3 linked regions of the Anolis sagrei genome follow. The protein of the gene in region 1 interacts with the protein of each later gene in a pairwise test. Links are inferred from orthologs where the notes say so. Each region holds a gene or a part of one and is shown in the gene's direction. Other genes may lie near its edges.

Evidence for each region.
Region 2: the proteins of TCHP (region 1) and NDOR1 interact in binary tests that used the Homo sapiens proteins (3 or more experiments, as listed by UniProt). The two-hybrid records come from large-scale screens. The link is inferred for Anolis sagrei from reciprocal best matches to the Homo sapiens genes TCHP and NDOR1.
Region 3: the proteins of TCHP (region 1) and DYDC1 interact in binary tests that used the Homo sapiens proteins (3 or more experiments, as listed by UniProt). The two-hybrid records come from large-scale screens. The link is inferred for Anolis sagrei from reciprocal best matches to the Homo sapiens genes TCHP and DYDC1.

Annotation. Positions count from the first base shown.
Region 1 is NC_090034.1:61,406,099-61,413,511, reverse strand, and holds the start of TCHP (trichoplein keratin filament-binding protein), read left to right. Parts: upstream 1-4,257; 5' UTR 4,258-4,365; intron 4,366-7,413. UniProt on the Homo sapiens protein: Tumor suppressor which has the ability to inhibit cell growth and be pro-apoptotic during cell stress. Inhibits cell growth in bladder and prostate cancer cells by a down-regulation of HSPB1 by inhibiting its phosphorylation.
Region 2 is NC_090031.1:15,456,003-15,463,873, forward strand, and holds the start of NDOR1 (NADPH-dependent diflavin oxidoreductase 1), read left to right. Parts: upstream 1-4,866; 5' UTR 4,867-4,951; coding exon 4,952-4,963; intron 4,964-6,371; coding exon 6,372-6,506; intron 6,507-6,754; coding exon 6,755-6,832; intron 6,833-7,871. Other genes in the region: TMEM203 (transmembrane protein 203), read right to left, coding at 4,378-4,806. UniProt on the Homo sapiens protein: NADPH-dependent reductase which is a central component of the cytosolic iron-sulfur (Fe-S) protein assembly (CIA) machinery.
Region 3 is NC_090023.1:155,234,797-155,242,800, reverse strand, and holds the start of DYDC1 (DPY30 domain-containing protein 1), read left to right. Parts: upstream 1-4,999; 5' UTR 5,000-5,254; intron 5,255-8,004. UniProt on the Homo sapiens protein: Functions as part of axonemal radial spoke complexes that play an important part in the motility of sperm and cilia. Plays a crucial role during acrosome biogenesis.

The DNA of each region.
Region 1 (7,413 bases):
GATTAAAATTCAAAATAAGCTCACTGAAAGTCGAAGAAAGGCACCGAGGTGGTTTTATTTGCGATTCAGCTGAAAAGGATGCTAAGTAGCGATAATTCGTCTACAGAGCATACCAGTACAGAGATCAGAGGCATTTTTATAGGAATTTCCAGGTTTGAAAGTTCAAAATTCCCGCCCCCAGCCCTCCGCCCGGCTCGCCAGTGATTGGCTGATGAGATTCCAGCTGGGAGGAGGCACGGCCGGCCGCCCTGCTTCAATGCCAATCACGGAGCTCCCCCGCTTCACAGGGGCCATTGGGAAAACTTTCCACGCTTCAGCGCCTTGGCGAATCAGGAGAAGGGAGGCGGGACGAAACAGAAACAATGAGCCGGCGAATGAATCAATGGGTGCGATGCCCACCCTATTGTCCTTGAGTGGATTTGCGATGATCTTTGATTACCTTTATCCTGGTCTCCAGCCACAATCAGATAAGGCACAAAGGGTGGCTTGGGGAAATGTCTGGTTTATGAATGGAGTAAGCAAAATTGGGAAGGCGACCCCCCAAGGATCGTCTCGCTCCTATTGTGAAGATGGCCAAAGGTTTGCCAAGGACATTCCAGACTGATGGCCATAATCCTGGAACCACATGGAGATTCCAGGTCTTATTGTCCACGCCAAAGTTCTGGGATATGTGTTTCTTTGTTGCCTCTGATTGCCTTTCCAACAGCTGGCCGCTTCCTTGAGGTGACTCTCCTACTATGAAGGGGCGAGGGGTGGGGTGCCAAGGAAAAATACTTGGGAAAAGAAACAGGAATCCAGATAAATTCATGTCAACCTCCCTTCTCTCCCCCCACCTGCCAGAGAAATTGGTTAATATAATTTTATTAAGACGTGAGTCCATGGTTCATGTGGGGCAATTCATATGTAGGGAATGAGTTCATAGGAGCAAGAAAAGGGGATTAAAGAAAGCCAAAAAGTCTCAAAAAGGTGTCTGATCATTTCCACTGAGCCAAAGGATGGATTCCAGCAATGTCAAGATCAAGTTGGTCTTTTGTCCTTGGGGAACTATAACTCCTTCCAAGGACTTGGGCCTCCAGGCCAGGCTCTTCCCCGTGAGCCTTATGGGGTAACCACACCAAGTATTCGGGGGCATGGGTCTGGCGGAGGCGATGAGATGGCGGGGCGCAGCAGCGCAGAAGTAACGGAGCCAGCTTTTTGACAATCAGCTGTTCCTCGCAAAATATATTCTTAAATTGGTTATTTCCCGAGTGTAGAAGTCCAAAAGGCAAAAAGCGAGATAGCAGATAGGGTTAGAATTAAGCTAGGAAAAATATGCCACCGAAATGGGGGCGTTTGGCCATCTCGCGGATGACTCAGAGGGGAAGACTCAGTATCCGCGGTTAGAAAAGTGCAGATTCGGCCTCCCCGGAATGCCAGGAAGGCATTCCGGGCAAGCCTGCAGTCTCCTGCGGCCTGGGAAAGATTATTTTCAAGCATTTAGATAGTTCAGGCAAGGAAAGAACCAAAGTATCAAGCTAGAGGGTTAAAAGTTGCAATTTCATAAATCTTTATTTGGGGTTTTGTTACAAAGTAGGGGCTGGGTAGGAAAGTGGGAAGAGAAAGCATAGGGCTGTTTTGAGTCCTGGTTGAGCTCGCTGTTGGGGCTCATTTAATCAGTTTGGCCCAATCCTTGCTTCCAGGAACTGCGGAAATCCCTGCTGCAGGTCAATTTAATTTAAAAGCAGAGGTCTGAGCTGCGCTCGGTATCACTGGTGCTATTTGGAGGAGGAGGATAAATTGATGATGGAACTTGCAGTACTTTCACTCACTTCTTGAGATCACTGTGACCATCAACAATGACAGATCAGGACCAAACTTGACACACAGAGCCCCCATGACGCACTCTACATGCTAGTGTGATTTGGAAGACTTTGGACCATGGATAATGGGACATGCAGTATCTTCATTCACTTCTAGAGACCACTGTGACCATCAACAATGACAGATCAGGACCAAACTTGACACACAGAGCCCCCATGATGCACTCTACATGCTAGTGTGATTTGGAAGACTTTGGATCATGGATAATGGGACATGCAGTATCTTCATTCACTTCTAGAGATCACTGTGACCATCAACAATGACAGATCAGGACCAAACTTGACACACAGAGCCCCCATGACGCACTCTACATGCTAGTGTGATTTGGAAGACTTTGGACCATGGATAATGGGACATGCAGTATCTTCATTCACTTCTAGAGACCACTGTGACCATCAACAATGACAGATCAGGACCAAACTTGACACACAGAGCCCCCATGATGCCCTCTACATGCTAGTGTGATTTGGAAGACTTTGGACCATGGATAATGGGACATGCAGTATCTTCATTCACTTCTAGAGACCACTGTGACCATCAACAATGACAGATCAGGACCAAACTTGACACACAGAGCCCCCATGACGCACTCTACATGCTAGTGTGATTTGGAAGACTTTGGACCATGGATAATGGGACATGCAGTATCTTCATTCACTTCTAGAGACCACTGTGACCCAAACCAATGACAGATCTTGGCACACATAGCCACCATGACTGACTTTACATCCTGGTGCGATTTGGAGGAGGACGTACCATGGACGATGTGACTTGCATATGGGAGTTGTAGTTCATCCACACCCACTGAACCCAGCCGACATTGGATCTAGGCGAAACTTGATATCTATTAAAATATAATAGGTTTATTTATAAGTCACTTAAATACAAATGCATTGGGTTTTATTCATTTCAAAGTGCTGACTTTAGCCTAGAAAGCCCTAAACCAGTGGTTCTCAACCTCCCTAATGCTGTGATCCCTTAATACAGTCCCTCATGTTGTTGTGACCCCCAACCATAATATTGTTTTCGTTGCTACTTCATAACAGTCATTTTACTACCGTTATGTATCATAATTTAAAAATCTGATATGCAGGGTGCATTTTCATTCACTGGGCACAAATACCCAATGCACACAAATGTGAATGCTAGTGGGGTTGGGGGAGGATTGATTTTGTAATTTGGGAGTTGTAGTTGCTGGGATTTATAGTTCACTTATAATCAAAGAGTATTCTAAACTCCACCAATGATTTGAACCAAACTTGGCTCCCATGACCAATGGAAAACACTGGAGGGGTTTGATGGGCATTGACCTTGAGTTTGGGAGTTGTAGTTCACCTATATCCAGAGAGCACTGCGGACTCATGCCATGGTGGATCTGGACCAAACTTGGCATGAATACTCAATATGCCCAAATGTGAACACTGGTGGAGTCTGGGGAAAATAGATCTTGACATTTGGGAGTTGTAGTTGCTGGGATTTATAGTTCATTACAATCAAAGAATATTCTGAACTCAACCAACGATAGAATTGGCTCAAACTTCCCACATGGAATCCCCATGACCATCACAAAATGCTGTGTTTTCTTATAGTCTTTGGCGACCCCTCTGACACCCCCTCGCGACCCCCTTAGGGGTCCTGACCCCCAGGTTGAGAAACACTGCCCTAAACGGTTCCGGTCCAGCTTCCCTGTCCAAACGTATCTCTCCTTATGAACCATCTAGGAATTTAAGATCGTTTGGGGAGGCCCTGCTCTCGATCCCGCCTTCTTTGCAGCTGCGGCTGGCGGGGACGAGAGACAGGGCCTTCTCAGTGGTGGCCCCTCGGCTGTGGAACTCCCTCCCTAGGGATATTAGATTGGCCCCCTCCCTCCTGACCTTCAAAAAAAATGAAAACATGGCTTTGTGAACAAACCTTTGGGAATGCAGTGCAATAGATAAACACGGAATTATGTAAGACTGAAACATGGAACGGCTTAGACGAAAGTGAGCTTAAGTGGAAGATATTGCTTATTATGTTTTTAATTGTTTTTGTATGGATTTTATAATTTTTTTTTTGTATTTTGTGAATTGTTATGGCATCGTCTTGCTGCCAATTTGTAAGCCGCCTTGAGTTGCCTTCAGGCTTGAGAAAGGCGGGATTAGAAATATCGTAAGCAAATAAATAAACAAATTTCACGCATAAGGGGAAAAACAACAACACTCCTATTAAGTGCTTTCCAATGGGAACCCGGAAGTGTAGGATGGGAGATCGCTTCCAATTATACTGAAGCCCTTTGTCGTTCTCAGTTCGCTTCGTGCTAGTGGATGGAAGGAAGGAAAGCGGTTCTTAAAGCGAGTGGCCACGCCCCCTTCGCGCGAAGGGAGAACAAGGAAAGGTTTCTCTCCCTCGTCGGCTTCCGTAGCTCCCAACCGGAAGTGTTGCTATGGCGACGCCAGAAGTGGGGAAACCGTTAAAAATGGCGATGAAGGAGGAGGAAAGACGGTAAAGCAGCAAGTTCCGAAAAAGGTACTTAATTATAAAAATATATATATTTAATTAAAATTGTTAATTAGTAACTGATAATTAATATATGTATGTGTATAACATAATAATCTCTAAAGGGTCTCCTGTATAATAATAATAATAATATAATAAAATATGATAATATAATTTTTAAAGTAATACAATAATAATATAAAATAACTATAATATAATATAATGTGATAATAAAATTTAAAGTAATTAATGTAATAGAATAATACAGTATAACATAATAATAGAATATATTATCTATATAAATAAATAAATGTAATGTTAGTTCGTGCTACCATCAGAACTCCAAAACCACTGGGGGAATTGACACCAAATTTGGACACAAGACACCTAACAGTCCAATTTATGTCCTCCACTAAAAAAAAATGATTTTGTCATTTGGGAATTGTCGTTGCTGGGATTTATAGTTCACCTACAATCAAAGAGCATTCTGAACTCCACCAATGATGGAATTGGGCCAAACTTGGCACACAGGGCTCCCATGACCAACAGAGAAAACTGGAAGGGTTTGGTGGACATTGACCTTGAGTTTGGGAATTATAGTTCACCCACATCCAGAGAGCACTGTGGACTCAAACAATGATGGATCTGGACCAAACTTGGCACGAATATTCCATATGCCCAAATATGAACACAGATGGAGTTTAAGGGAAATAGACCTTGACATTTGGGAGTTGTAGTTGCTGGGATTTATAGTTCACCTACAATCAAAGAGCATTCTGAACTCCACCAATGATGGAATTCAACCAAACATGGCATACAGGACTTCCATGACCAACAGAACACACTGGAAGGGTTTGGTGGGCATTGACCTTGAGTTTGGGAGTTGTAGTTCACCTACATCCAGAGAGCACTGTGGACTCAAACAATGATGGATCTGGACCAAACTTGACACAAAAATTCCATATGCCTAAATATGAACACAGATGGAGTTTGGAGGAAATAGACCTTGACATTTGGGATTTGTAGTTACTGGGATTTATAGTTCACTACAATTAAAGAGCATTCTGAAACCCACAAATGACAGAAATGGGGCAAACTTCCCACACAGAACCGCCATGACCAACAGAAAATACTTAAGGCCATCCAGTCCAACTCTCTTCACCAGACCATGAAAATGTAATCAGAGCCCTCCTGACAAAGAGCCATCCAGTCATAAATATAGATAGATAGATAGATAGATAGATATGATTCTCTCTCACACACATAGATATAGTATCACAGATTTTAAAGAGACCCGTAAAGAAGGACAATGATATGTTGCATGTTCCAGGGAGAGCAAATCAGACACTCTCCACATCACACCTTGAGTTTGGGAGTTGTAGTTCACGTACATCCAGAGAGCACTGTGGACTCAAACAATGAGGGATCTGGACCAAACTTGGCACAAACACTCAGTACGCCCAAATATGAACACAGATGGCGTTTGGGGGGAATAGACCTTGACATTTGGGGGTTGTAGTCACTGGCATTCACAGTTCACCTACAATCAATGAGCATTCTGAACCCCACGAACAGCAGAATTGGGGCAAACTTTCCACACAGAACCCCCATAACCAACAGAAAATACTTAAGACCATCCAATCCAACTCGCTTCATCAGGGCAAGAAAGTGTAATCAAAGTCCTCCTGACAAAGAGCCATCCAGCCATAAATATAGATAGATAGATAGATAGATAGATAGATAGATATGATTCACACACACACAGATATAGTATCATAGATTTGAAAGGGACCCTTAAAGAAGGACTATGATATGTTGCATATTCCAGAGTAGGCAAACCAGACACTCTCCACATCAACACTGACAAAGAAATAGCAAGAAATACTGTTTACCCACAAGCATAAAGAAATTACATATATTAGAAACCAACACTTTCCCATTACTTTATTTTCCAGATCAACAGACTGGGCCACAGCAACACGTGGTAGGGGACAGCTAGTAAATATAAGTGTGTGTGAATTGTATCTATCTGTTAATATCTGTGATTGGATGGCTCTTTGTCAGGAGGGCTTTGATTACGTTTTCTTGCTCTGGTGAAGAGAGTTGGTGGTCGGGACCCCTGGGGGGTGTCGCGAGGGGGTGTCAGAAGGATCACCAAAAACCACCAGAAAACACAGTATTTTCTATTGATCATGGGGGTTCTGTGTGGGAGGTTTGGTCCAATTCTATTGTTGGAGGGGTTCAGAATGTGCTTTGATTGTAGGTGAACTATAAATCCCAGTAACAACAACTCCCAAATGTTAAGATCTATTTCCCCCAAACTCCATCTGTGTTCATATTTGGCATATGGAGTATTCGTGCCAAGTTTGGTCTAAATCCCACCAACTACAACTCCCAAATAGCAAAAGCAATTTTTTTTAGTGATGGTCACTCCTTGGGTTAGTAGATGTCTTGTGGCCAAATTTGACGGAAATTCGTCCAGCGGATTTTGAGTTATGATGTCACTCAAAACAAACAGAGCATTAATATAGATAGATAGATAATAATATATAATATATAATAATAATATACAATAATAATATATAATAAAAGGAGCCCCACTGCCCGGATTCCAACGGCCAACCTTTCAGTCAGCACAGCAGGTTAAACAGTTGAGCTGCTGAACTTGCTGACTGAAAGATTAGCCATTGGAATCCGGGCAGTGGGGTGAGCTCTCGCTGTTAGCCCCAGCTTCTGCCGACCTAGCAGTTCTGGACCACATTTGGCACAGAGTCCCAACATTGCCTGGTTTTGGGGAAGATTGACCCACGATTCTGGGAATTGCAGTTCACCCACATCATTATATATTTCCTAATGGGAGCATTGATGAAAAAATAAATCAAAGACTGTTTTTTTCCTAATAAATAGTGTTACTAATTAACTAAATGATATGACATAACACTCCAAAACAACCAATTTTTAAAGCTAGTATTATAATATATAACAATAATAAAGTATCATAGACCTTATTATTATTACTAGCCGTCCCCTACCACACGTTGCTGTGGCCCAGTCTAGTGATCTGGAAAATAAAGTAAT
Region 2 (7,871 bases), on another chromosome or scaffold:
TGAAGCAGAAGTAGATGTTTTTCTGAAACTCCCTGCCTTTCTCCATTATCCAGCGGATATTGGCAATTTGGTCTCTCGTTCCTCTACCTTTTCTAAACCCAGCTTGAACATCTGGCAACTCTCGCTCCATGTATTGCTGGAGTCTTCCTTGCAGGATCTTGAGCATTACCTTACTGGCATGAGAAATAAGGGCCACTGTACGGAAGTTTGAGCAGTCTTTCGCATTTCCCTTTTTTGGTATGGGGATATAAGTTGATTTTTTCCAGTCTGATGGCCATTCTTGTGTTTTCCATATTTGCTGGCAAATGGCATGCATCACCTTGACAGCATCATCTTTTAAGATTTTAAACAGTTCAGCTGGGATCCCGTCATCTCCTGCTGCCTTGTTGTTAGCAATGCTTCTTAAGGCCCATTCAACCTCACTCCTCAGGATGTCTGGTTCTAATTCATTCACCACACCGTCAAAACTATCCTCAATATTATTATCCTTCCTATACGTAGGGCGCTTGCTTTCTAGCTATTGGCGTTTTACATTTTTTTCAATAGGAAGTAATAGAAAGATTTACAAGCCCTCTAGTGGGGATTCCAATTACTGCTTCAGCAACCAGGATGCAGTGACTTTCCCCTCAACACGAATATTATTTGGACTATTATTACTATTATCATTCTTTGTTCATGCAATTTTTCCCAAGAAGCTTAAACATAACATAAAGCAACACCCCGCCCCTCAACAATAAATGAAACTATAATTCAGGAAGACACCATACAAGCCCTCCCGACAGATGGCCGAACTCCCAGGCAGCATACTCTACTCTTAGCTTTCCAGATGGGTAAGAAAAACAACAACAACCATATATTGACTCAAGAATGGGAATCTATTTACATGTTTAGCAACCCATTTCCATTTGGTCTGAAGTCCAGTGAGAATACACATATGAACATAAGAATGGGAATCTCTATCGAAATATTCTCAAATTGCGGTCTTGTTTTGTTCCTTGTTCTGCATGGTCTGAGGTCCAGCAACAAAGGATATATTTGCATGCAAATGGGGATCTATTTACATGTTTATTCTTAAATTCTGATCTTGTTCCATAGGGCCGGAATTCCAATCAGAATACACATATTGACTTAAGAATGGGAAATCTATGTACATATTTATTCTCAAATTGCAGTGTGGCTCCATATGGTCATCTGAAGTCCATAATACATACATAAAAATGAGAATGGGAATCTATTTACATGTTTATTCTTAAATAGCGGTCTTGTTCTATTCGTATTTCCACATAGTCTGAAGTCCAGTGAGAATAAACATATTGATATAAGAATGGGAATATATATATATATATATATATATATATATATAGATTCTTAAATACTGGTCTGTTTCCATATGGTCTGAAGTCCAATGAGAATACATAAACATGATGGGAATCTATTTACATGTTTATTATTAAATAGCAGTCTGATTCCATTCCTAGTTCTACATAATCTGAAGTCCAGTGACATAAGAATGGAAATCTATCTACATATTTATTCTCAAATTGTAGTCTGGTTCCATTCCTAGCTCCACATGCTTTGAAGTCCAGTGACAATGCATGTATTTGCATAAGAATGGGAATATATCCATGTATATATTATTAAATATAGTTCCATATGGCCTGAAGTCCAGTGAGAATGCATAAACATGAGGATGGGAATCTATTTACATGTTTATTCTTAAATAGTCTTGTTCCATATGGTCAGAAGACCAGTCAGGATACACATAATTGCATAAGAATGGGGATATGTCTATATATTTCTCCTCAAATTGCGGTCTGGTTCCATATGGTCGAAAGTCAATTCAAAATACACATATTTGCATAAGAATGGAAATACATCTACATATTTATTCTTAAATATCAGTCTTGGTCAACATAGTCTAAAGTCCAGTGAGAATGCATGTATTGGCGTAAGAATGGGGACCTGTCTACATATTTTTCCTCAAATTGCAGTCTGGTTCCATATGGTCGAAAGTCCATTCAGAATACACATATTTGCATAAGAATGGGGATTATCTACATATTTCTCCTCAAATTGCGGTTTGGTTCCATATGGTCAGAAGTCCATTCAGAATACATATATTTGCATAAGAATGGGGACATATCTACATATTTATTCTTAAATAGCAGTTTTGTTCCACATAATCTGAAGTCCAGTGAGAATACATGTACTGACATAAGAATGAGGATTTATCAACATATTTCTTCTCAAGTGGCAGTCTGATTCCATACTTTGTTGTACTCAGTCTAGGGTCCAGCAACTGCCTCTGTCTGCATAAGAAGGGGCCCTATCTGCATGCCTGTCTGCAAGCAGGCCTTGTTCCTGGGCCACTTCTCCTCTTGACCCAACCAAACACCTCTTAATTTATTCTTAAGTAGCGGTTTGGTTCCATATGGCCTTAAGTCCAGTGAGAATACACAAACATGAGAATGGGAATCTATTTTCATGTTTATTCTTAAATAGCAGTCCTGTTCAATATGGTTGGAAGTCCATTCAGAATACACATATTTGCATAAGAATGGGGATTATCTACATATTTCTCCTCAATAGCAGTCTGGTTCCATATGATAGGAAGTCCAGTCAGAATACATATATTTACATAAGAATGGAAACATATCCACATTTGTTCTTAAAAAGCAGTTTTTTTTTCAACATAGTCTCAAATCTCTAAGAATGGGGATCTATCTACATATTTTTTCTCAAATGGCAGTCTGATTCCACGCCTTGTTGTATTTGGTCCAAGGTCCAGCAACAATGCCTCTGTCTGCATAAGAAGGGGCCCTATCTGCATGCATGTACATAAGCAGGCCTTGTTCCCGGGCCACTTGTTCTCCTGTTCCTGGCTCTCCTCCCCTTGACCCAGCAACACAACCAAATGCCTCTTAATTTATTCTTAAGTAGCGGTCTGGTTCCATATGGCCTGAAGTGAGAATACATAAACATGAGAATGGGAATTTATTTACACGCATATTCTTAAATAGCAGTATGGTTCCATATGGCCTGAAGTCTAGTGAGAATACATAAGCATGAGAATGGGAATCTATTTACATGCTTATTCATAAATAGTAGACTGGTTCCATTCCTAGTACCACATATTCTGGAGTCTATGAGTTGACATATTTCTTCTCAAGTGGCAGTCTAGTTCCACGCTTTGCAGTAACTGGTCCAAGCTCCAGCAACAATGCCTCTGTCTGCATAAGAAGGGGCCCTATCCGCATGCCTGTCCGCAAGCAGGCCTTGTTCCTGGGCCACTCCTCCTCTTGACCCAGCAACACAGCCAAATGCATCTTAATTTATTAAGTAGCGGTCTGGTTCCATATGACCTGAAGTTTGGTGAGAATACATAAACATGACAATGGGAATCTATTTGTACGCATATTCTTAAATAGCGGTCTGGTTCCATATGGCCTGAAGTCTGGTGAGAACACATAAACAGGTATTGACATAAGAATGTGGATCCATCTACACATTTATTCTCAAATGGCGGTCTGATTCCACGCCTTGTTGTACTTGGCCCAAGGTCCAACAACAATGCCTCTGTCTGCATAGGAAGGGGGCCTATCCGCACGCCTGTCTGCAAGCAGGCCTTGTTCCTAGACCACTCCTCCTCTTGACCCAGCAACACAGCCAAATGCCTCTTAATTTAATTTAGTATTGGTCTGGTTCCATATGGCCTAAAGTTCAGTGAGAATACATAAACATGAGAATGGGAATCTATTTACACGCTTATTCTTAAATAGCAGTCTGGTTCCATATGGCCTAAAGTCCAGTGAGAAAACATAAACATGAGAATGGGAATCTATTTACACGCTTATTCTCAAATAGCAGTCTGGTTCCATATGGCCTGAAGTCCGGTGAGAAAACATAAACATGAGAATGGGAATCTATTTAAATGCTTATTCTTAAATAGTAGTCTGATTCCACTCCTAGTTTCACATAGTCTGGAGTCTATGAATTGACATATTTCTTCTCAAGTGGCAGTCTGGTTCCACGCCTTGTTGTATGGCCTGAAGTCCAGTAAGAATACATAAACATGAGAATGGGAATCAATTTACACGCTTATTCTCATATAACAGTCTGGTTCCATATGGCCTAAAGTCCAGTGAGAATAAATAAACACGGGAATGAGAATCTATACGCTTATTCTTAAACAGCGGCCTGGTTCCATTCCTAGTTCCACATAGTCTGGAGTTATGAGCTGACATATTTCTTCTCAAATGGTGGCCTGGTTCCAGTAACGACGCCTCTGTCTGCATAAGTAGGGACCCTAGCTGCAAGCTGGCTTTGTTCTCCGCCTCCTCTCGACCCGGCGACACAGGCCAAGGCCTCCCCGAAGCCTCAGAAGATCCTGCAGGCGCGGATCATGAGGAGTTGGAGCAGGATGAAGACGGGCGCCATGATGAGGCCGTACCAGAGCTGCTCGCGGCCGGGCTTGGGCTCCTGGCCCAGCTTCTGGCAGAGCAGCATCTCGAAGACGAACTTGAGGCTGAGGAGGGTGAGCACCCAGAAGAGGCGCAGCACGGCCAGCCGCTTCTCGCCGTCCTGGAAGAGCCGCACCGAGACGATGGCCGTGAAGTAGGTGCAGAGCCCGTCGGCGGCGAAGAGCGGGCCCAGCGCGCCCCACCAGCTCAGCCCCGCCGCCGCCGCCCCGCCGTCCGCCTTCAGCGCCACCAGCGCCGACGCCGCCAGCAGCGCCAGCCCCTGCAGGAGCAGCTCGAAGGGCGCCAGGCCCAGCCACTGCACCGCCTCCCGCAGAGAGAACAGCATCCCGAAGCCTCAGGACGCCGGCCCCGCCGCCGCGCGCTTCCGCTTCTGCCGCGGCTTCCGGCGCGCGGGGGTGACGTCGGGACGTCCCGAGCGAGGGAGGCGCCGACACTTCTGGGCGCGAGGCAGTGACGTTTGCGGCACCGCGATGCCGGCTCAGGTGAGGCGCTGCTGCTGCTGCGCGCTTCTGAGGGGGAAAAGTAGGAGCCTTCAAGTGGAGTGAATCCGCTTTGAATCCGGTTTCTGCCTACTGCAGAATTCTGGGGTTGGTAGTTTAGGGTGTAGGAGCCTTTTCACATCCTCACTAAACTACAAAACCCCAGCATCCTGCAGAATTGAAAGTGGATGGAGGTAGTTCTGCCTTGGGCCCTTCCACACAGCCCTATATCCCAGGATAGCAAGGCAGAAAATCCCACCATATCTGCTTTGAACTGGGTTATCTGAGTCCACAGTCAGGTAATGTGGGATTTCCTGCCTTGATATTCTGGGATATAGGGCTGTGTGGAAGGGCCTCCGGTTGTCGTGGGGCCAGGGCTCACTCTCCACTCTCATCTTATCTATCTATGTGTATATAGTCTGTTGGCTCCCTCTTTCCCTCTCAGTTGTCGTGGGGCCAGGTCTCACCCTCCACTCTCCTCTATTTATGTGTATATAGTACGTTGGCTCCCTCCTTTCCTCTCAGTTGTCGTGGGGCCAGGGCTCACCTTCCTCTCTCATCTAATGTATCTATCTATCTATGTGTATATAGGCCATTGGCTCCCTCCTTCCCTCTCAGTTGTTGTGGGGCCAGGGCTCACCTTCCACTCTCATCTCATCTATCTATCTATGTGCATATAGTCCGTTGGCTCCCTCCATGAAAATGAACAAAATCTGGCTACCAGTATTAAAAAAACTCTAAAATTAAAACAGCACAACAGAGAGGAAACAAACAAGGACATCTAATCACCTCTCAACAAAAGTTTGCTCCAGGCACTGTCAGGCCATTATATGCTAATCAAGGTAGTCAGTTGAAACATTCACACCTAGCTCCAGGAGACAAGAGTCCTTTGTCCTACCCCGGTCATTTCACAGATATATAAACCTTTTTTCCTAGTCCCAACAGAAACCTCTGTTGGATGCTTGCCATAGATGCAGGCGAAACGTCAGGAGAGAATGCCTTTAGAACATGGCCATATAGCCCGAAAAAACCTACAACAACCCATTATGATGTTCTGGTTGCATCTTTGTTGTTGTTGTTGTTGTTTATTAGTTCAATCACTTTAACCTTTTTGTGACCTCATGGACCATCCCACGCCACAGCTCTCTGTAGGCCATCACCACCCCCAGCTTCTTCAGAGTAAAGCCAATCACTTCAAGTAAACGTCTTCTGATTTCCTGGCTGCAGTCTGCGTCTGCAATCATCTCTTTGTCTAGAAATACAAAATCTGTCACTGCTTCCACGTTTTTGATAGAACACAATAACTATGTTCTTAATTTGAGAAAGAGCTGCATGATAAACCAGTGGCCAAGAGAGAAGCCTTGGCTTTCTGCTTTCACTAAATGGGGTGTCTCTGCTTCTCTTCTTCCAGATGGAGGATCGGAAGATGTTGGTCCTCTTTGGCAGCCAGACAGGGACGGCTCAAGATGCGGCTGAAAGGGTCGGCCGGGAGGCCAAGCGGCATCACTTCCGGTGCAAAGTGGAGGCCCTGGACGACTACTGTGTGGTGAGCAGCCCGGCTGCCCTTCCAGCTTCCCCCCTTCAAGATGGGTGTCTTTAACAGGCCAAATAATCCCAGAGGAATACCCCAAATCGAATATCATGCACAGCTTTTTGGGATAAATACCTTCGCCAAAATGGGGGTGCATAGTAGATTTGATGGCAAATTAGACTAAAATCAATATTGTAATTGTTTGAGAAAAGTAAAAAGTATGGGACAGCAATTGCTTGATAAATTATTGATCTTTTCTCCAGGCTTCCCTCATCCATGAACCGTTGGTGGTGTTTGTCTGTGCAACAACGGGACAAGGAGACCCTCCTGATAACATGAAGGTCAGATTATTATTATTATTATTACTACACTATACAAACAATTTTAAAAAAATCTGTTCCTGGTTTGAAAGTGTTATTTCCTGTACTTAATTTGAAAGTAGTTGTTCTACTCCAGAAACTTTGTTTTGGAGGCTGCCACAAACTAGGTTGAATTGGTTGAGATTCTGTGAGATATGCTTTCAAAAACTATAGCAAAATGTGCTGCAGGATATCCCAAAGAAACAAAGTTTTTGCAGTTTAAACAACATTTTTCATGTTTTTATGATAGTATCAATTAGGAAATGTTATTTATAACTCAGGAACAAAAATGTGTTATGTAGTGCTATTATTAGTATCATAGAATCAAACCCCTCCTGACAGATGGCCATCCAGCCCCTGTTTAAAAGCCTCCAGGGACTGAGCCTTCACCGGATTCAGAGGCAATGAGTTCCACTGTTGAACAGCCTTACAACCAGGAAGTCCTTCCTTATATTCATTATTATTATTATTAGCTGTCCCCTGCCATGTGTTGCTGTGACCCAGTCTGTGTATATGTGTTTTGTGTATGTATACATGTGTGTATGTGTATATATGTGATTTTGTGCATGCGTTGTAATGTAATTTTGGGGGGGGGGGGTTGGCTTTTTAAGTCCCTTCTGCTGTGTTTTTCAGTGTTTTTTATGAGTGATGGTCACTTGTGTCCAAATTTGGTGTCAATTCACCCAGTATTTTTTGAGTTATGTTAATCCCACAAATGAACAATACATTTTTATTTATATAGATTGTTATTAATATGCCACTTTTTCTTTCTAATATCTCACTTTTTCTTAAAGCGGCTCACAATAAATCCAACACAGTACAATAAACCAATATAATACAGATATCCTCCCATTAAGAATATTTGGACCCTAACAGGAGAAAAACCAGCCAGTACTATATATGAGTTTATGGTAGGAAAGAGGAGAGAAAAGACACAGGTAAATATCATTTTTTAAAAAAAATATTTACTCTTGAAAGGAATACATCTCAGATAAAAAAAAGAGTAGATAGACAGAAGAAA
Region 3 (8,004 bases), on another chromosome or scaffold:
TCAGTGCTGACAAAATTATCATCTGTGAGCTGCAGAAGGCCACCATACTGGGATCTATATGCATTATTCGCTGATACATCACATAGTCCTAGACACTTGGGAAGTGTCCGATGTGTGATCCAATACCACAGCCAGCAGTGTGATCTTGTCTGCTATGGACTCATCATATTATAGACTTTATTTATACTCTGCCACCACTTTATTTATACTCTGAACGAATGAACACCATTGTTGTTCATTCGTTCAGTCGTCTCCGACTCTTCGTGACCTCATGGACCAGTCCACGCCAGAGCTCCCTGTCGGCCGTCACCACCCCCAGCTCCTTCAAGGTCAGTCCAGTCACTTCAAGGATGGCATCCATCCATCTTGCCCTTCGTCGGCCCCTCTTACTTTTACCTTCTACATTCCCCAGCATAATTGTCTTCTCTAGGCTTTGCTGTCTCCTCATGATGTGGCCAAAGTACTTCAACTTTGTCTCTAGTATCCTTCCCTCCAATGAGCAGTTGGGCTTTATTTCCTGGAGGATGGACTGGTTGGATCTTCTCGCAGTCCAAGGCACTCTCAGAACTTTCCTCCAACACCACAGCTCAAAAGCATCTATCTTCCTTTGCTCAGCCTTCCCTAAGGTCCAGCTCTCACATCCGTAGGGAATACCATGGCTTTGACTAGGCGGATCTTTGTTGCCAGTGTGATGTCTCTACTCTTTACTATTTTATCGAGACTGGACATTGCTCTCCTCCCAAGAAGTAAGCGTCTTCTGATTTCCTGGCCACAGTCTGCATCTGCAGTAATCTTTGCACCTAGAAATACAAAGTCTGTCACGGCCTCTACGTTTTCTCCCTCTATTTCCCAGTTGTCAATCATTCTTGTTGCCATAATATTGGTTTTTTTGATGTTTAGCTGCAACTCAGCTTTTGCGCTTTCTACTTTCACCTTGATTAGAAGGCTCCTCAGCTCCTCCTCGCTTTCGGCCATCAGAGTGGTGTCGTCTGCATATCTGAGGTTGTTAATGTTTCTTCCAGCAATTTTCACCCCAGATTTGTATTCATCAAGCCCCGCACATCGCATGATGTGTTCTGCATACAAGTTAAAAAGGTTGGGTGAGAATATGCAGCCTTGCCGTACGCCTTTCCCAATCTTGAACCAGTCTGTTGTTCCGTGGTCAGTTCTGACTGTTGCTACTTGGTCCTTGTACAGATTCCTCAGGAGAGAGACAAGGTGGCTTGGGATGCCCATCCCACCAAGAAGTTGTCACAATTTATTATGATCCACACAGTCAAAGGCTTTAGAATAGTCAATGAAGCAGAAATAGATATCTTTCTGAAACTCCCTGCCTGTCTCCATTATCCAGCGGATATTGGCAATCCCCAAAGAGAATAGAATCATAGAATCATAGAGTTGGAAGAGACCTCATGGGCCATCCAGTCCAACCCCCTGCCAAGAAGCAGGAATATTACATTCAAATCACCCCTGACAGATGGCCATCCAGCTTGGCTCACGAGGCCAAGTCCAGCGATACATTACAGCAACATAAAATATAAACAACAAAATAATATCACAATAAAATAAATAAACCAATCAAATAAACAATACAAAATAACATAATGGAAAATCAAATACAGTGGGTGGGCCAATTGCATGACATAAAATGATAAAACTCTGGATGAAATAGCAATTGAAAAGGTATATTTGTGGGGGAGGAGCTCGTAGGGGACTGAACAGTGGAATATGATTTTCAATACAGCAAAATATTAAGAAAATCAAAATCAAAAACATAGATGATTTCCATAATTATAGAATGGGTGCTGAATACTCTGAAATGCAGTAGTCAAGAGCTTTCTAAACGACCCTTTAAATTCAAAGAAATTACAGTAATCAACTAAATAAACAGATCAAAACAAGCACAAAACTGCACACAACAGGAAAACTTACACTAAGAATAAAAATGTTAAACACATTGAAATGATTTCCAACTTATACCTGGGAGCCCCTGGTGGCTCAGTGGGTTAAACCACTGAGCTGCTAAACTTACTAACGGGTCACAGGTTCAAATCTGGAGAGCGAGGTGAGCTCCCGCTGTTAGCCCCAGCTTCAATTCTCCTGTTTCTGAATGCTTATGATAAAATTAAACTTCTTAATAAATTGCAACTCTCTTCCTCTCTCCCTCTAATCTCCATCTATAAATCCCATCTCCTAAATGACAAAATCAACCCTCCCCCAACCCCTCCAGCATTCAAATGTCGGCGTATCAGATATTTGTGCCAAATTGGTCCAGTAAATGAAATACATTCTGTATTTAAGATATTTACATTACAATTCATAACAGGAACAGAATTACAGTTCTGAAGTAGCAACAAAAATAATTTTATGGTTGAGGGTCATCACAACATGAGTAACTGTATTAAGGGGTTGCTGCATTAGGAAGGTTGAGAACCACTGATCTATGGCAAGCATCCTCAGAGGTTGTAGGGTGACAACAATCCTATCTCTTCATCCAAAAGCAGGCCCACACTTCCCATTGAAATACTAATAAGCTTATATCTGTTAAAATTGTTCTTTATTTATTGTATTGTTTTAAAGTGTTTTTTTGCACTACAAATAAGATATGTGCAGTGTGCATAGGAATTCATTTATGATTTTTTTCACATTATAATCTGGCCCTCCAACAGTTTGAGGGACCGTGACCTGGCCCTCTGTTTAAAAAGTTTGATGGCCCCTGCTCTAGTGTGATGAAGTAGTAGAGAACACAATTCCTTTGATGCTACAATGTATCTCCATTTTTGGGACTTTGTCAACATTTTCCCCTCCAACACTATACTAGGTACAGTGTTCCCTCACTACTTCACTTTTCACGGACTCGCTGTTTCGCGGTTTTTCAATAAATACAGTAATGTATATATTTACACTGGAGCTACGTCTCTCCTTGCCACGTGCATCGTGGGATATGCCAGCCTGGGAAGCCGCCTCCTGCATTCACCCCACTTGCCCAACTCCTCCTTCTCGCCTTCTTCTTTCTCCCCCTCTTCCTCACTTTCCTCTGCAGATGGGAGCCTGTCCGGATTGAAAGCGGGAGAAGGAAGGGAAGGATGATGGACAGGTCTAGAGGGGTGAATGGCAGGTGGGTCTTGAGGGAGGAGGGGGGACCCACGCAGAGGCGGCTCTAGGTATTTTCAACGGTAAGCAAACAGTATCCCCCCCCCCCAACCACCAACCAATCACTGATATATGTTTTCTGTTTGTCATGGGAGTTCTGTGTGCCATATTTGGTTCAATTCCATCATTGGTGGAGTTCAGAATGCTCTTTGATTGCAGGTGAACTATACATTCCAGTAACTACAACTTGCATATGTCAAGGTCTATTTTCCCCCAAGAGCACCTCAAGAGTGCCCTGGGCAAAATCAACTATACTGCAAATGCTTACTTTGCGTAATGGGTTGAGCCGCCCCTGGACCTGCGTGACATCACGAGACCAACCCAGTGCATGGAAAGAAAGGCAGGAGAGGCATAAAGCTTCCTAAAAAGAAAAGGGTGTCAGGATATACTCAGAGGATGAATACACACCAAAAATGAGAGTAGGACTTTTGCAATGGCAGCTTGAGATGCTACTTAAAAACCTGGATGTTCGAACAGGCATTTGGTTAATCGGTGCAATGAATGTGATGATTACAGGAATGGTAATATGGACGACGAAACTGGATCACGATTTTAGTCATGAGATGCATTGGGTTGTTATTGTTGTGTCAATATTGTGTATTATGCTTTTATGGTTTTAAATTGTATATTGTTGACTGTTGTACCTTTGTTGTAAACCGCGTTGAGTCGCCTGTTAGGCTGAGAAACTGTGGTATACAAGTAAAGTAAATAAATAGTGTCCCTACTTAGTGGATTTTCACTTTTTGTGGGTGACCCTGGAAAGTAACAGCCACAATAAGTGAAGGAACACTGTATCTTTCTTTTCCTTTGAAAATTCTTTCCTTTGAAACTCTGCATCAGTGCAGAGATAATAAAAAGAACAAATAAAAGGGAGTAACCTCTCCTATACTCTATGGCAGGGGTCCTCAAACTTTTTAAACAGAGGGCCAGGTCAAAGTCTCTCAAACTGTTGGAGGGCCGGATTATAATTGTGGAAAAAAATGAATGAATTCCTATGCACACTGCACATATCTTACCTGTAGTGCAAAAAAATAAATAAAATAAAAACAACACAATAATTAAAATGAAAAACAATTTAAATAAATATAAACTTATTGGTATGGACCTGCTTTTGGCTGATGAGATAGGATTGTTGTTATTGTTGTGTGCTTTCAAGTCATTTCAGATTTAGGTTGACTCTGAGTGAGGGCCTGTTAGATGACCTTGGAGGGCCATATGCGGCCCTCAGGCCATAGTTTGAGGGCCCCTGCTCTATGGGGCCAAGAGAGACCCTGACTTCTCCCTTATTTCTAACTATGAACTTATGATGGAACCTCCCTTAGTTCCTATCCCTGTGTCTTTATTTTATTGCTTTATTTTGATATCATGGAATACATTAAATAGAAGGCAAACCAAAATGAACTCTTTTAACCTCTTGAGCAATCTCAAATTATTCCAGGATTTCTCCTCTACTCTGGCAGAAGGCATGGCCAGGGCAAAAATCTGTTGGACAAAGGTCTTCCCTAGCACGCAGCGGGAGCCCATCCATTTGCTGCCTGAAATGCCCCCTTTGGGGGACTCAAGCAGCTCACTGGACAAAGACTCGGGAAGAAACATTGATGATATACTCTTCAAGATATTTCCAACAATAGTTATTTAACCATTTAACTCGAAAAAGATATAAATAATACACCCATTTCAGGTTTTCTTTCAAATTGTAACCCACACTCTTCTCTCTTCCTCATATAATCATTGCCACACAATCCTTTCTCACGTTCTGATTTGATCACTTCGAAATCTCCATCCTTTTTAATCTGCTTTGTATCTTTCCAAGATTAGTAAATTGGGAAACTATCATTACCCAGTAAGAAACATTTTGATCCAGCGCTTGTGAAGACTGATCTTGCCAATTAGCATTAAAAGTCAAACCAAGTAAAGGTAGGAGGAACATCTTGTCTACGGAGAAGAGGGAGTTGTAGCATCATCAGAGATAAAGCAGTGGTCCGTTGCTAGGATACCAAACAGAAGCTTCCAGGTCTAACGGCTTCTCTGAGCATCCTCAGTTGATGAAGCCATACTGAAGAAAGAGACATTACAGTTTGGTACATCCTTGGGTTCAAGTGTAAGTTTGCCTTTTGATAAATACTTTTTTCTATCATGATATGTAGATTCTCTTAGTGATGACAGTTGGGTGGCTTCTCATTTGAACTAGAATTGATGCTGAGAGAGTCCGACTGGGGGGTGCTTCATACACCAATCTCTGGTAAGGTAAAATCGCCATGGGCCCAATTAATCCCAATATCCCAATGTAGCATCTTGTATGATGTTGTGTTATAATCTGAAGGTTGGAAGGCTAGTGTTTGAATCTCAGGCATAGAAACCCACTGGGGAACTTTGGGCATTTTCTCTCAGCCTGAATAATAATAATAATAATAATAATAATAATAATAATAATTATTATTATTATTATTATTATTTTATTTCTTACCTGTCTCTCCTCGTGGCTTGATGCAGGTTTTTTTTTTTGTCGTGTCAGGAGCGACTTGAGAAACTGCAAGTCGTTTCTGGTGTGAGAGAATTGGCCGTCTGCAAGGATGTTGCCCAGGGGATGCCCGGATGATTTGATGTTTTATCATCCTTGTGGGAGGCTTCTCTCATGTTCTCTCATGTTCCCGCATAAGGAGCTGGAGCTGATAGAGGGAGCTCATCCGCCTCTCCCCGGATTCGAACCTGTGACCTGTCCTGCATCACCGGGGGCTCCATTGAGACAGGTTACAGCATAATTAAAACACATGAATATCGTAGAAATTCTATACACACATGTTCAGATAATGCAACAAGCCTTTATTTTCTCTGTCTTATAAATGGAAGAGTGTTTAGTGAGTTTTTATGGGGCTTTTGGCTTACACACACACCTACACCCATATATATATGCTGTGTGATCAATGAAAAAATGTTTCAAAATTCATTACAAAATTAGGGGGTGTTGATGTTTCATTTCTAAAGGGTTTCTAAAGTATCGTTAGTAAAAATTTAATTACTGTAATGAGAGTAACAAAATTTTGTCACTTTTTCATTATAGTAATTGTGCAAGTAGGGAAACTTCAGAGGCCCCTTTCTGCCTCATTGGCATGAAACTTGCTATGATTATAGAACATATTTACCACTGTTAGCCCATGGAGTTTCAGAATGTTTCACCCATCTATGGATTTTTTTGCAAATTTTCAAAAAAAATTACAAACAAAATTAAAAAAATACAAGAGGTGGCTCCTTGAATTTTCTATACAATGGCACAGGATAACAGGGGATCATTCCCCCCAACTTTCCAAAATATTCATGCATCTACTGATTTTTTGGATTTTTTTTAAAAAATGACAAAAACTTTTTTTAAAAAAACCCCACAACAGCTATTTCATTGAATGTCTTTAACCAACAAAACTTCAATTTAGGGATTTCTTTACAGCCCAGCAGAAATTTATTTGCTTGTATCAGTTAGTCCTCCTCTTTGCAAATTCAACAATTTCTTGGAACTCTGGCTACTTCTATGAGGAACCAATCTCTCCCCTATCCCGCTTGGGGCTTTCTGATGCTTATTATTATTATTATTATTATTAACTTTATTTGTACCCCGCTAGCATCTCCCGGAGGACTCGATGCGGCTTACACAGGCCGAAGCCTCAAACACAATACAATAGAGAATATAACATCACAACAACAAGGCAAATCAAACAGTAAGCAAAATAACATAACACCGCAATACTAAACAAATCAAACAATATGCAAAATAACAACAATAGCAGTACATCAGGACATTATTAAAAACTGGTTCGGCCGGCGCACTGGGGTACAAGGGTTAAAAGTGCTGAATGGCAGGAGGCACGTAGGGTTAAAAGTGCGATGTGCAGTGACAATTTGTTATGCTAAGGTGCTACTAGGACTTGGGGTGGGGATTCCTAGAATTCTGGGAAATGTAGTTTAGGGCAGGACCTTTTGAATTCTCTGCCATAGGGCTCCTCGGCTTTCCAAACTACATTTCCCATAATTCTGTTTTCTCTTAGTCTCTTTCCCAGCTCACTCAGCTCATGTTGCCCTGCTGCTTTCCTGTCCTCATAGCAAGAAGCAGCCTATCATTTCTTAATTCAAATAGGAATGACAGCTTTTTTGGCTTCACCTCATTTGAAGTGAAAATAAAACTGACTTACAAAAATTACAGCATTCAAACAAAAAAGTATTGGGTGAGTTTTAATTCTTAAGTTTTTGTGTGGGCACCCCCCCCCCTTGTGTTTCCTAATATCTGTTTGTTTATGAAAAACTGACAAATTACATAGATACATATTTAAAACATATTTCTGTAAAATACTTATTAAAATGCACATAACAGAGATTAAACACAAGACACAAGTATAAAATTCATGCTTACAACTGACTGGGAAGGCTCTCTGAACAATTTATATCATGATAGGTTTGCCTTGAAGTCACCATAAGTCAGGCACACAACAGCAACAGAGATGAATTATGATCACATGCAATGGTCTTCAATGTTGGGCAATGCTCATATTCACAAGAATCCAGCAAGGGCAGAGTTCCCCCTCCAGAACCATTGTGCAAATGGATCCAAAAGCATGGGTGTCAAGTCATGCTTCCCATTGTATATACAATAGGCATCCAAATGCCATGCGACTTGTTGTTCAATGGGAATTTCCATAGAGCAACACGATACTGCTCAGAATACACAAAATTTTGTATTTTTTCACCTGTTCTCAACCTGTGGGTCCCCAGGTGCTTTGGCCTACAGCTCCCAGAAATCCCAGCCAGTTTACTAGCTTTTAGGATTTCTGAGAGTTGAAGGCCAAAACATCTGGGGACCCACAG